Linked DNA regions of Drosophila melanogaster. The protein of the gene in region 1 interacts with the protein of each later gene in a pairwise test. Each region holds a gene or a part of one and is shown in the gene's direction. Other genes may lie near its edges.

The links.
Region 2: the proteins of CG13720 (region 1) and Golgin245 interact in a two-hybrid assay, tested with the Drosophila melanogaster proteins (one large-scale study listed by BioGRID).

What each region holds. Positions count from the first base shown.
Region 1 is NT_037436.4:4,498,283-4,502,712, reverse strand, and holds CG13720 (uncharacterized protein), read left to right. Parts: upstream 1-2,212; 5' UTR 2,213-2,274; coding exon 2,275-3,738; 3' UTR 3,739-3,857; downstream 3,858-4,430. Other genes in the region: NT1 (neurotrophin 1), read left to right, coding at 1-737.
Region 2 is NT_033778.4:23,371,046-23,378,966, reverse strand, and holds Golgin245 (Golgin-245), read left to right. Parts: upstream 1-1,921; 5' UTR 1,922-2,052; coding exon 2,053-2,136; intron 2,137-2,347; coding exon 2,348-2,435; intron 2,436-2,500; coding exon 2,501-2,676; intron 2,677-2,730; coding exon 2,731-2,934; intron 2,935-3,013; coding exon 3,014-6,724; intron 6,725-6,790; coding exon 6,791-6,862; intron 6,863-6,927; coding exon 6,928-7,044; intron 7,045-7,106; coding exon 7,107-7,124; 3' UTR 7,125-7,607; downstream 7,608-7,921. Other genes in the region: yellow-d, read right to left, coding at 1-101; CG13551 (uncharacterized protein), read left to right, coding at 790-918; Ice1 (uncharacterized protein), read right to left, coding at 7,619-7,921.

The sequences.
Region 1 (4,430 bases):
CCACAAGTCTACCAGCCCGAACGGGAACAGCTGCCCTTAGTCCGGGATCCGGCTTTGTCTCCGGTTTCAGCGCCAGTGCTGGCCTCTCCAGCGCCTCCTCTGCCCATGCCGCCCATGCCCATCAAGCAGGTGCCATCGCACCACCAGGCGCACCACCAACAGCCTCACCACCATCTTCACCAGTCAACCGGCAAGGTGGCAGCAAATCGCGACCCCGCTTCTATGCACCACCAGCCACCACGACGACCAACACAGCAGTGGTTACCGGGTCAGCGTCGTCCCTTTCGACCGAGCGCACCACTCAGTGGGAGCGGGATCAGTCGACGTCACTACCACAACCGCCGGCAGTCTATCCAGTGAGCTCGATCTTCCCCAGCGGTGGTGGCAGCGAGATGTCGGGCAAGAGGATTAACTATAACTACCACCCCATTATCGATTTCTTCGAGAAGAATCGCAAGGCGGAGGCGGCGGCTACAGTCAGTTCCATCGCAGAAGAGTCCCGCATAGTGGAGCAGCGTATATTCCCGCAGAATTCCCCCAAATCTCAACAGAATGGCATGGGCTTGGGCATGGAGACAATCACTGGAGTTTACCAACATCCCATTCCGGTGCCCAAAACGCACGAGAGGCGTATGGGTTACCGGGCACATAACGGTGGCGTGGGTGGTGCAGGTGCTGTGGGTGGTGGTGCTGGTTTCGCTAGCGATAACGCCTGGCTGCCCATGGTTGTGGAGTAGCTTAAGTCGCATGAGTCCATCAAAATCAAAGTCCTCAAATCCCCGAAATCTAACGTATTAACGCCGATGCCTTAGCTCGTAGTCTCTGCCGTTCTCGCCAGGAGCCTAATCTTGTAGTTTGTCTACCTGGCTCCTAATCTCAACCCCATTTATCCCAAAACCCACTCTAATGTTTAACCAACTATGTTTATTTATTTATTTATTTTGTAGTGTGTAGTGCAAAGATTAAGAGATGACCTCGTTTTTGGGGGAGGTTCAATTGGTCAAAAGCTTGGTTGGTTTGTCACGAGAGTTCTAGCAATAAATATAATTTATTGAAATCTTAACACGTGTTTGTTTCTTTAAGAAATGTGTCGAGTTTACTTTTACACTCACTGTACTTCTGTTAACACTGAAGCTAACAGAACAAATATTATAGCATCTTTTAGGCGCTTTTTAAAATTCTGACTTCTGTTAACAAAACAGGCATGCGCAACGGCATTGCCATTAAAAGAGCTGTTTTGTTTTATTGATAATATAATCTTGTAATAAATTCAAGTACAAGGCAATTAAATAAAGTCCTACAATTCAATGTTAATTATGGTGCTTTTTAATTTAAAACGTGACTAATATAGACATTTGTAGTATTTAATAGTTTGCAGCTTAATCAAATGTAGATGTTTGGAAGAAGATTTAAATACAATTATTTGCAATGAAAAGTTTACTTAAAAATTCAATTAATTACGTACCTTGAAGAGTCAAAGAATTTATTAAAATTACAAACAGAAACAAAAATTTTTTTTCCACTCACAAAAAATCTCATGAATATATTTATTCCTATTAGATATTCCCATAGAATATCAAAGTCCGCATAAATCATTCCCATCTAAAGACCGCATTATTCCCCATATTTTTAAAACACCCAAATTAAATGGACAGTGCATAAATTAATTCACCGTTCGCTCTGCCTTTCGCCCAAATGACACAAATACCAAATCAGTGGCTTTCGGCGAAGTTCAAGTTGAGGGTCAAGTGGCGGGCACTAATGAGATTCGAGACTGCGAAAATAAAAACACTTACCCACACGATCGAAAACTGAATTCAAGACAGAAACTAGTTTCTGCACAGCAACCAGAAAGTTGCAATGTGCCAAGCCACCGTTGTGGCGTATGCAAAGTGGGTTTCTAAAGCGAAACACGGCTTGAGCCCCGACTTTGACCAGTTATAACATTGGACGTTGAACGTTGCAACTTGCATCTGGCAGCTACTTGCAACGTCACTTCGGCTGGCCAGATTCGCTTTCATTTGCGGCCGAAGCTAACAAACGGCCGATGACGACGACGATGACGACTTCAAAAACATCTATCTCGTCACGAAAGAAAGAAAGAAAGAAAGGCTCGTGGCGCGGTGATCAAACTGGAAAATTGGAAAAACGGCGAGGAAATGTTATAAAGCCACAATGATAGCACACTTACTGCACAGTTGTCGGTTGGCCGTCGAACGCGAAAGTGAAAAGTTGCATTTCCCCCGACCTTGGGATAGAGAGAGTAAAAGTGCAATGGCTGTGCTAAGGACATACTTTTTGCTCCTCTTCTATTTACAACTAAGCCAGGCGATAAAAGTGGATAGTGGGAGCAAGGAAGGAGATTCCAGTAGCACTCCAAGTCCTCCTCTTTATAGAGTATCGAAGCCCGAGCACAAGAAACCGGAGAACAGGGTTCCACCGCATTTGCAGGACATACGTCCTGGTTACGTCGATGATGATGCGGGAGATGTGATCAGGATTATTGAGCCTCCTCAGCACTTTCAGCAGCTGAAACGTCTGCGTCAACGGCAACCTTCCAATCCACCTGTGGTTTGGGAGCAACCACGGAAATTGGCCACCAATAGGTTGAAAATCATGCCACAAGGAGACCTCCTCACGCAAGAAACCCAGATTCAAAATGGTCCTAATCAGCTACAAATACCCGTGGAAATCTTGGCCTCTGTGCGGAAAACAGAGCGTCTATTGCAGCGGCAAAGACAAAAGGCAAAGTTTCCGCTGGTAAGACAACGACATATCCAGCGACAAAGTCACACGTTGATAGCTCAAAAGGCCCTGGAACAGCAACTTTACCATCGAAGCCAGCAGCAAAGACTAAAAGCACTGTTAAGTCGCAATCAGGAGCTTAAGAGAAGTAAAAGAAACCGAAGGGATGTGCCTGTAAAGTCAAAGGAACCTTATGATGTACAAAAGGGCCTGAAGTTGGTGGCCCACATTGGGGATCTACTGAAAAATGCAACACAATATCTACCCGACGAGGGCGTCACCAATGAGGTGAAGAGGTCATCAATTTGCAGCAATGCAACCAACTGCGACAATCGGCGACGTCGCCAAAGACTTTTCAAACAGCACGACAAGTCAGCAGAGCGGGAAAAATTAAAGGAGAGGCGGCGCAACTTCCGGAATAAAGAGGCAACAACCACAACAGCAGCAACAACCAAGGCGACAACGACGACAACAACAACCACTGGCAAATCAGTGTTTTCAAGTGCCAATTCACTTGCGGAAACTTCCGCAACTCCGCTGGCCAGTCGCCTGGTGAATTCACGCAAATCCAAATCCAAATCGCCAAATAACAACCGCAATAGCAACTGGGGCCGCAACGATGACTCCATACTCTATGCGGATGTAATGACAAATATACGCAACTTGTGGCAGGAGCACGATCAGTTGGCGGGACCAAGGTTTATTGCACCTGACGAGGTGGCCAACAATACGGACTATCGCACCTTGGACGTTTATCTCAAGCAGCTGGATGATTTGGCCAAAAAGCTACCCACTGTGGCTCCCATTAGTGGTCTCAACAAGGAGGAGCTGCAGCGAGCTACGCCAACGCCCAGTTGGTACTTGATAAACTCAGAGGGAGGGATCTTTGAGACCCGACTGGATAGTCAAACTAAACCCTCGTCGTCCCTATTTCATCGATTCCCCGACATGCCCAATCAAAATCAAAGTGTGTCCACATTGGACTTGGAGTAGACATTGCTCTTAAAGTTTTAAGCTAGTTGTTACTTATTTATTTACAAAGAATAAAGTATTATTACTGCAACGGAGTTAGAAATGAAAATTTCTAAATGGCATTTACGTTAGTTTTAATTAAATGCAACTTATATAATTATTAAGTTATTAACAAGTAGTTAACTTATTAACCCTGCAACTCTTCGCCTCAACTCCTCCAAAGCTACATCTCTGGCGGATTCTTGGTGGCCAACCAAGCATTTAGCTCCGCTAATTACAACAACTCCCAACTCTCAAGTCACAAGTTCTTGGCTAATGCGGCAATTTAGATAAGCCCTAGCTGGCAATTAGCCCCGAGCTTGAATCCAAGCTGCCAAACGTGCGAAACGCATTGTCCCAAGCCCTGACCCCGCCAGACATGCAAAGTTGTGAGAAGATTTTCGGCAATTAGGCAGGTACATGGAAATTGAGTGGCTCAGATGAAGCGGAAGAAAATCTGACCTGACCTCTCTTACACGGGAAATATGTAGATCTGTCGGATCTCTCATTCAGATAATACTTGTTTTGGTTTCTGATCTACGTAATAGTTTTGCGGGGATTCTTGGAACATTTTCATTTCCACAATCGTTTTTTTTTTTTTTTTCGCTACCAAGTCTGAAGTTTTTGGGCGTCGTTTTTTTTATGGGATTAGAATGTTGTCCGGCCACTTTGAC
Region 2 (7,921 bases), on another chromosome or scaffold:
ACAGTGCGCACGGGACGCGGTCCATTGACACCGACGCCATAGCTCTGGGCTAGCGTCAGCGAAAAGGCGATCAGCAGTATCCGGAGGGGCATCATAACCATTCCGCAGCAGAGTCGGATGGTAAATGTTCTGTTCGAACTAAGGGCAGCTGCTTATCAAGCAAGTTGGTTCCTGAGGCGTTGATAAGTGGCAGAGAGGCAGGCAGGCTGGCTGGCGGAGATCGAAGAGTGTGGACCGCGGCCTGGCTTTGTCTACTTGTTGACGACCAATTAAGAGCAAGGGTCTGTTGATATTTGGCCAGATGCGGCCTAACAATGCGGAATAATTTAATACGGTGACCCCGATCTAACGACACTTTCTTCGACGTCTCACTTCGGTAGCCAACTATCAACTGAAAACAGGCTTTTTAGCTTGGTGGCTTGAAGACGAGCAGGCAGAACGGCAGACAATGATTCAGGTTCATTGGCGGCAGGTGGTTTTCCCCCGATCTTTTTCGCACTCTTTACAGACTTCCGTCGACTGTTTGTCGTGGTCATTCAGGCGATATCCGAACTTTTTGTCTGCCCGTGTGACGGGTTCGGTCTGAAAATTGTTAACCAAATATTGTCTCTTGTAGTAAAGCCTCTTATATGGCTGGCAGCTAATGATGACAGTCGATCAATATTGATGGCAAGCTTCAGGGGTGGGCGGGCTTAGCTAACCAGCAATTAGCTTTTTACGACTTGCTAGCACTAATTGTATTTCGCACCGGCTAATCGAGAGAATCCATCATTGTTCGTTTCGTTGCAGCAAAGGGAGCAGCTGGATCGCCTTAAGAACGACCAGATCCACCAGGCTGAGTTCCACCACCAGCAGATCAAGGAGCACGAGGAGGCCATCCAGCGCCACAAGGAGTTCCTCGAGAACCTGCACAAGTGAGCGGTGATCCATCCACCGGCAGAAGGCGACCGCACGGACGGATGAACTCGAGACATTTACTAAAATGCATTTCACTCTCTTTTGTATGTTCCCAAGTGCTCACTACCACTTACCAGTAACCCAAAAATTATATATGTATTTGAAAAGTGCGTAATAAACCATCCATATTTTGAATGCTTTAACTAGAAGCTCATCTTTAGCTCGTGCTGGAACAGGTTACTAAAGTTTATGGCCGCTTCGTTACAGAACCAAAGCAATAAAGTTCGTTGATGTGTTTCTTTATAAGTTATTTTTCAATTCCTCTTCGTTAATAACTAAGGCCTTATCGCCTGCCGTTATAATCGACTAAAAATCAATTAACTTAAAAAGAATAACAACTTGTAAAAAATAGAATTTATGAAAAGAGTGTATATTTCACGTACAAGAAAACACAGTTATACGAACTATTGCGCGGTTTTTATAAATAAAGAAGTGCAATTTAAACGTATGCTGCATTATCTTCGAATAAAAACAAACTGTAGGGTGCTTAACTAAGCGTTTTTGCCCACAACATGAGGATTCCTCAAACACGAGCGGCTACTTAAAATGCTAAATCATTGCATAATTAGCAAGTTTGACCAGCTTTCATTCAGTTTTAGCGTGTAAACAGTTCATTATAGTAGTATTGTTAGAAAAAATTGAATACATCATACCTAGGAACTTTCTATATATCTATATTTAAAGAATTGAAAGGGCGTTCAACAGGCTTCCAAATATTTTTAAAGATAACCTGCGCCACCTGTGGAAAATATCTTGAACCAAGATGGTATTAAAAAACATGGAGGTAGGTATTATCAATTATAACTAATTAAATTGTTACTTTTGTGTGTATTAAATAAAAATTACATTGTACGTAACATTTATTTATGTTTATTAAAATTTTTCGTCACGTTCATAAACTTAATGACCCGCAGTTGCGTTCGTCCCTAATGAATACTGCGCTTGTTATCGATAACTCCCGAGGCTATCGGCAGTGTGACCGTTGAATGAACATCTGCAGACACGTATTTATTTAGATGTTTTTTAATTACAAATTGAATAGTGCTTAAACCAGGTAGCGCAACCAGTTGAAAAAGAGCGCAGCAGGCACTCGAAATGTTCGCCAACCTGAAGAACAAGCTGATCGAGGAGGTGAAGGCGTCGCCCTCGAAGTTCCAGCAATTTGCGAATGCTGCACAGGTATTTTTGTGTGCGGGGGCGGGGCGGTGCTTATTGCCGATGAAAAATGCAAATTGAGGAAAACATACGCACACAGACACGGAATTGCATGTGTGTCGGTGAACTGGGAAGGGGTCGCCTTCGATTGTGCGATTGTGACCCATTTCTGGGTGCACAAGTGAAAAGTGAAGTGACCAGCTGCTCATGAGTCTTCCTTGGACTTTTTTCCCAGGCCGCCGTGAGCTCATCGTCGAGCACAACACCCAATTCGGAAACGAACACCAGCAACAATGAGAACTTCTTCAGCATCACGGAGGAGGGTGAGTACGCCATGAGTCACCTGGGGTTCCTTATCTCACATATCAATCCATCTTTCACCGCGCAGACACACCTCAGAACTCGCCTTATCGCATCCAAAAGCTGCCGGCCACAAGTGCATCCGCTCTGCGCGGACGATCGACGCAATCCCTGAACGGCGCCACCTCCAGGACCCGCAAGCTCTCCAACTCGTCCATGGCCAGCGACGTGTCTTTCCGCCTGCCTACATATGAAGCGCCAGCTGTAAGTGGCCGAAAAGTCTCCGAGATTGCTTTAATTATGTGTTCTACTTTCCAGGTGTACCACTTGCAATCTGATCTGGACGAAACGAGCAGCGAGTTCGACGACTCCGCCTCAACGGCTCGTCTGGATGTGATCACCAAGGACCAGCTGTACGATGCGTACAAGAAGTCACTTGATCGTTACCACAAGTACCGCTGTCGGTACACGGATCTGGCCAAAAAGTACAAGGAACTGGAACGCGACAGCTCCAAGGCGCGGGTATCTATCTATCTGCCTATCTAATCGGTCTGCTTGATAAGCTTGTGTAACGAACATTTCCGATAATATCGCTTTGCAGTCTGTGCTGGTGGAGACGCAAGACAAGGCGCTGCGCCGAATCAGCGAGCTGAGGGAGCAGTGCACGCTGGAGCAGCAGGCCAAGGCGCATTTGGAGGAGGCTCTGCGCGTTGAGATGGACGACATGAGCTGCAAAATGCAGGCTTATCAGACGAAGCTCCAGCTGCTGGGCGAAAATCCTGAGAATATTACGGCGGCTCTGGAGAGAAGCGGCCAACAGCTGGAGTCCGAACAGCTAATCGACCTGGAGGAGTCGATCGGAAAGTCGCCCCTGTCCACCAATGGCAGTTCCGGTGTGTCCGACTTACAGAGATTACTTAAAGAGCGGGACGAGCAGCTGAAAAGTGTGACCGAAAAATACGAAGCTGTGCGCAAGCAGGAGGAGGAGAACGTGCTTCTTCTGGCCCAGACAAAGCAGGCCATCCATACGGAATTGGAGCTAAAGGACACCGAGGTGCGTAAGCTTCAGGAGAAACTCAAGCAATTGGAATCTCAGCGAGAGTCCCACAACAACGAAGTCAAGGAGCAGTTCAAAAAGCTTCAGGCCACGAAGCAGGAAGTCGATGCCAAACTTATGGCTACAGAGCACCTGCTGAACACCCTAAAAGAAAGCTATGCGATCAAGGAGCAACAGGTGGTCACACTCGAAGCGCAACTGGAAGCCATAAGGGTGGAAAACGAACAGAAAGTAAAAGATCTGCAGAAACAGAACGAAGATCGAAATACCCAAGCAAGCGATTCAAGCGAGCAACTAAAGAAACTTCAAGCAGCCGTTCAGGATGCGGAGTCCCAGCTTTTGTCCAAGGATCAGCTCTTGGAATCTCTCCGAAGCGAACAAGCAGCCAAGGAGCAGCAGCTAAAGCATCTGAAGGAGCAGTTGGGTAAACTGAAACAAGAAAACGAAAATTACTTAGATAAATTGCGAGAAAACAAGAAAAGTAGCGATTCTCAAACTAACGAAGCACAGGATCAGCAAAAGAAACTGCAAGCAGCCAAGGACGAAGCCGAATCGAAGCTCTTAGCCACGGAAGAACTTTTGCACTCCCTCAGGAATGATTATAAAGCACAGGAAGAGAAAGTCGCTTTGTTGGAAGACAAACTGAAAACTCTTTCCAAGGAAAACGATGTGAATGTAGAAAAATTGCACCACATTAATGAACAACGAGAAGCTCAAAGTACTGATTCCCAGCAGAAGATCAATGAACTACGTGCAGCTAAGGACGAAGCCGAAGCCAAACTTCTTTCCACTGAACACAGTTTGAACGCACTTCAGGCCGCACTCTCGGCCAAGGAAGAGCAAGCGGCATCCTTGGAGCAAAGCTTGAATGCGCTTAAAACCGAAAGTGAGCACAGTTTGCAGGACCTGCGCTTGCACAATGATCAGTTGCTCGAAATTGTCCAGCGTCATCAACAAAACGACTGGGAAGCTCAGCTCGCTCGGGCAAGAGAGGAATTGGCAGCCATTCAATCGCAACGGGAGCTCCATGCTCTCGAACTCGAGAAGAGCCTGGAAATGGAGCGCGAATCTGTGGCCGCTTTGAATTCCGAGAAAGCCTCCCAGGAGGAACAGCATAGGCTTAAGCTGGAACAGCTACAGCGAGAGATTCAAATACTACAAGATCAGCACGCGAACTCGGAGAGCGAAACAGTGGCTGCACTAAAAGGGCAGTTGGAGGCTCTTAGTCAGGACTTGGCCACCAGTCAGGCCAGTTTGTTGGCCAAGGAAAAGGAACTGAAAGCCAGCGGCAACAAGTTGAACAAGATAAAGAAGCAACACGAGCAGCACCAGGCGAAATCAAGCGATCAAAGCGCTCGCCTCGAAGCTCTGCAAAGTGAGTTGGCAGATCGACTGAGTCACTCTCGCCAGGTGGAGAGCGAAAAGGAGGAGCTGCAGGCACGCGTCACTGGAATTCTGGAGGAGATTGGCACCATGCAGGCGCAAATGCAACAGGTGCAAGACTCACACAGCGAGCTGGAACGGGAGAAGCGCAAGCTGGAATCCCGCATCGAGTCACTGCAGCAGGAGCAAGTGGACAGCAGTGCCCAGGACGAGAGGACCTCAGCTAAGCTGGAGGAGATCCAGAGCGAAAACACCAAGCTGGCCGAACGCAACTGTCTGCTGGAGGAGCAGACGAATCATTTGGAGTCCCAACTGCAAGCCAAACAAGACGAGATCGGCAAGATCCAGGCGAAGCTGCAACAGGTGCTCGACGAGCACTCGAAGCTGCAAAATGCCCAGGAGCTGATGGATCACGACCATCGGACGCTGCAGGATAAATGCGATGCCTACGAAAAGGATAAGCTGCTGACCAAACACACTCTGGACTGCCTGCAGTCGGCCAGTGAGGAGCTGCATAGGGTTAAGGCTAACTTAGATCGAGAACTGAAGGAGCAGGACCAACAACTGTCGGAGCTGAGAGAGCGACAAAGAGAACAGGAGCAGCAGCTGAAAGACCAAGCCGAACGATGCGCGAAATTGAAGGCCCAAAACAGCGAAAGTGAGACCCAACTGCAGGCCACGATCAGCAATCTTCGCGAGCAACTTGATGCTTATAAGCAGACAGAGCAGGGCATTCAGGAGAAACTGCAGGCTACCAATTCGTCCTACACCACGCAAATTGCCACATTGGAAGCTCGCTGGAGCGCCGCCAACTCAGACGTAGAGCGTCTTCACGAAGCCAATGATGCCCTGCAGCTGGAGATGGAACAGTTGAAGATTAAGCACGGCCAGGAACGCGAGGAGGTGAAGGAGTCAATTGCCCAGAAAAACCGTCAGGTGGTGGAGCTCCAAGAAGCCATGGCCACAAGGGATCGTCAGCTACAAGAAAAGATTGAAGCCTCCGAAAAATTGGCCAAATTCGATGAGATCCTGATCGAGAACGAGTATTTGAATAAGCACACGAAGCAATTGGAGGCCGAGTTGGCTGAGAGTGCGGAGCTGAAGGAGAAACTGAAATCCCTGCAATGTGAATTGTACGTTCTTCAGGAGAAGGCCGAGCAGCATGCCGTCCAAATGGCCGAAAAGGAAACGCAGAGTGCGACAGCAACGGCAGAGGTGTCCGAACTGAAGAAGGCCATCGAGGAACAGGCGGTGGAGCTGACCCGCCAGAAGGAGCACGCCAGCTTTGTCACCGAGCAGAGTGATGCGGTCCAAAAAGACCTTCTTCAAGCGCAGCAGCAACTCCACGATAAGCAAATCGAATTGGCAATGAGTCGGGATGAGCAGGCCTTGCTGCAGGCTGAAGCTGATGGCTTAAGGCAGGAGGTGATTTGCCTTAAGGAGCATTTATCCCCCTCAACCGACTCCGACAGCCTGCGCAGCCTGAACGAGCGACTGCAACGGGAGCTGGAGGATCTCAAGCACAAGAGCGCCGGTGCGGAGTCCAATATGCAGCAGGAGATCGAGGAGCTGCAGGCTAACAACCAGCAGATGGCGGAGCGCATCAACGAGCTGGAAACCCTGCGAGCCGGCATACAAGCCCAGCAACTCCTCGCCAGCATGGCGCCCAAAAACGTTCAGGAGGCAGCCGCTGCCGGCGAGAAGGCTGAACTGGAGTCTAAGCTCAAAGAGATTATGAACGAGGTGCAGGACGTGACGAATCGAAACCTGTTCCTGGAGCAAAAATGCGAGAACTTCCTCATACTCGAACAGTCCAACGAGCGACTTAAGCTGCAGAATGCGAAACTCTCGCGGCAACTGGATGAAACCCTGGTGAGTCCATAGCAGCGGTGCACCCACCCTTTGATTCCATTGCTGATTCCTTTCTCTTGCCGACAGGTATCCATGCAACACAGCGAGGCTGTTCCGGCCAACACGGAATTCGAGTACTTGCGCAACATCATGTTCCAGGTGGGGAATCAAACTAGATAATGTCCAAATATATACTCCCAACTAACTGATATATTCCATTTCAGTACCTAACTGGGAACACGAACAACGAGACGCTTGTCAAGGTGATATCGGCAGTGCTCAAATTTTCGCCGCAGCAGGCCCAAGTTGCACTGGAAAAGGAGCATCAGCGGCGATCGCTGGTAGGGAAGCCCATTTGAGTTCCATATTGCATCGTTAACTAACCCAATACAAACACTTGCAGCTGAACAAACTGATCTAGCATGAACTGATGGCTCTCTACGGCGGAGATTGGAACTGGGAGCCCTGCCCGGTGGCGCTTCTAGACCGCAAATGATGTCGGAGATCACAAGTACCTTATACTTATACCTCACCCTCGCGCACGGCATGGGTGCTTCCGGCTGACTCTGCAGGCATTTCGAGTAGTAGAAGCCGCTGATGTATGTGTATGCCGCATCCTAGATCCATGTTATTGTACAGTCCACGAATTAAGTATAGCTACTTCTGTCCAAATCCACGCTAAGCACTTTTGTACATTTTGATTACGCTTTCCTTTGTTTCATTCACTTGCTTGCGCTCCATGTCCCATGTCCACGACTTACCTTAACCCCAGCCTAACCTAAGTGCAATCGTTTTGTGTATTTTAGTTGTAAGTTTAAATTTGTAAAGATCCGCAGCGCAGTTGGCATTTAGTTTAATTCAAAATCTATACAATAACATACATAAATAAATAGTTACAATTCATAAAAGGGAATCTCAAATCTCTGTACGCCGCCCAGTGGCCGCCACGTGACGGAAGTGCCTCCTCCGTTTCGCAAAGCATCGAATCATGGCCCGCGTTAACGGGTCGAGCTCGTAGTTGGGCCTGTAGTCCTTCAGGGCATCCAGAGTGTACTTGAATCCGAATCTCTGCAGACGTAGGCTGGCCTTGACGGCCGCCAGTTGAACTCCGGATCGTGGCACTGCCACGAGAAGGCGCTTCAGGAAGCCTACGAAGGCGGAGATATCAGTATCCAGGGGCAGTGGCTTCAGTACCAAAGAGATGCAGTGCAGCAGAAG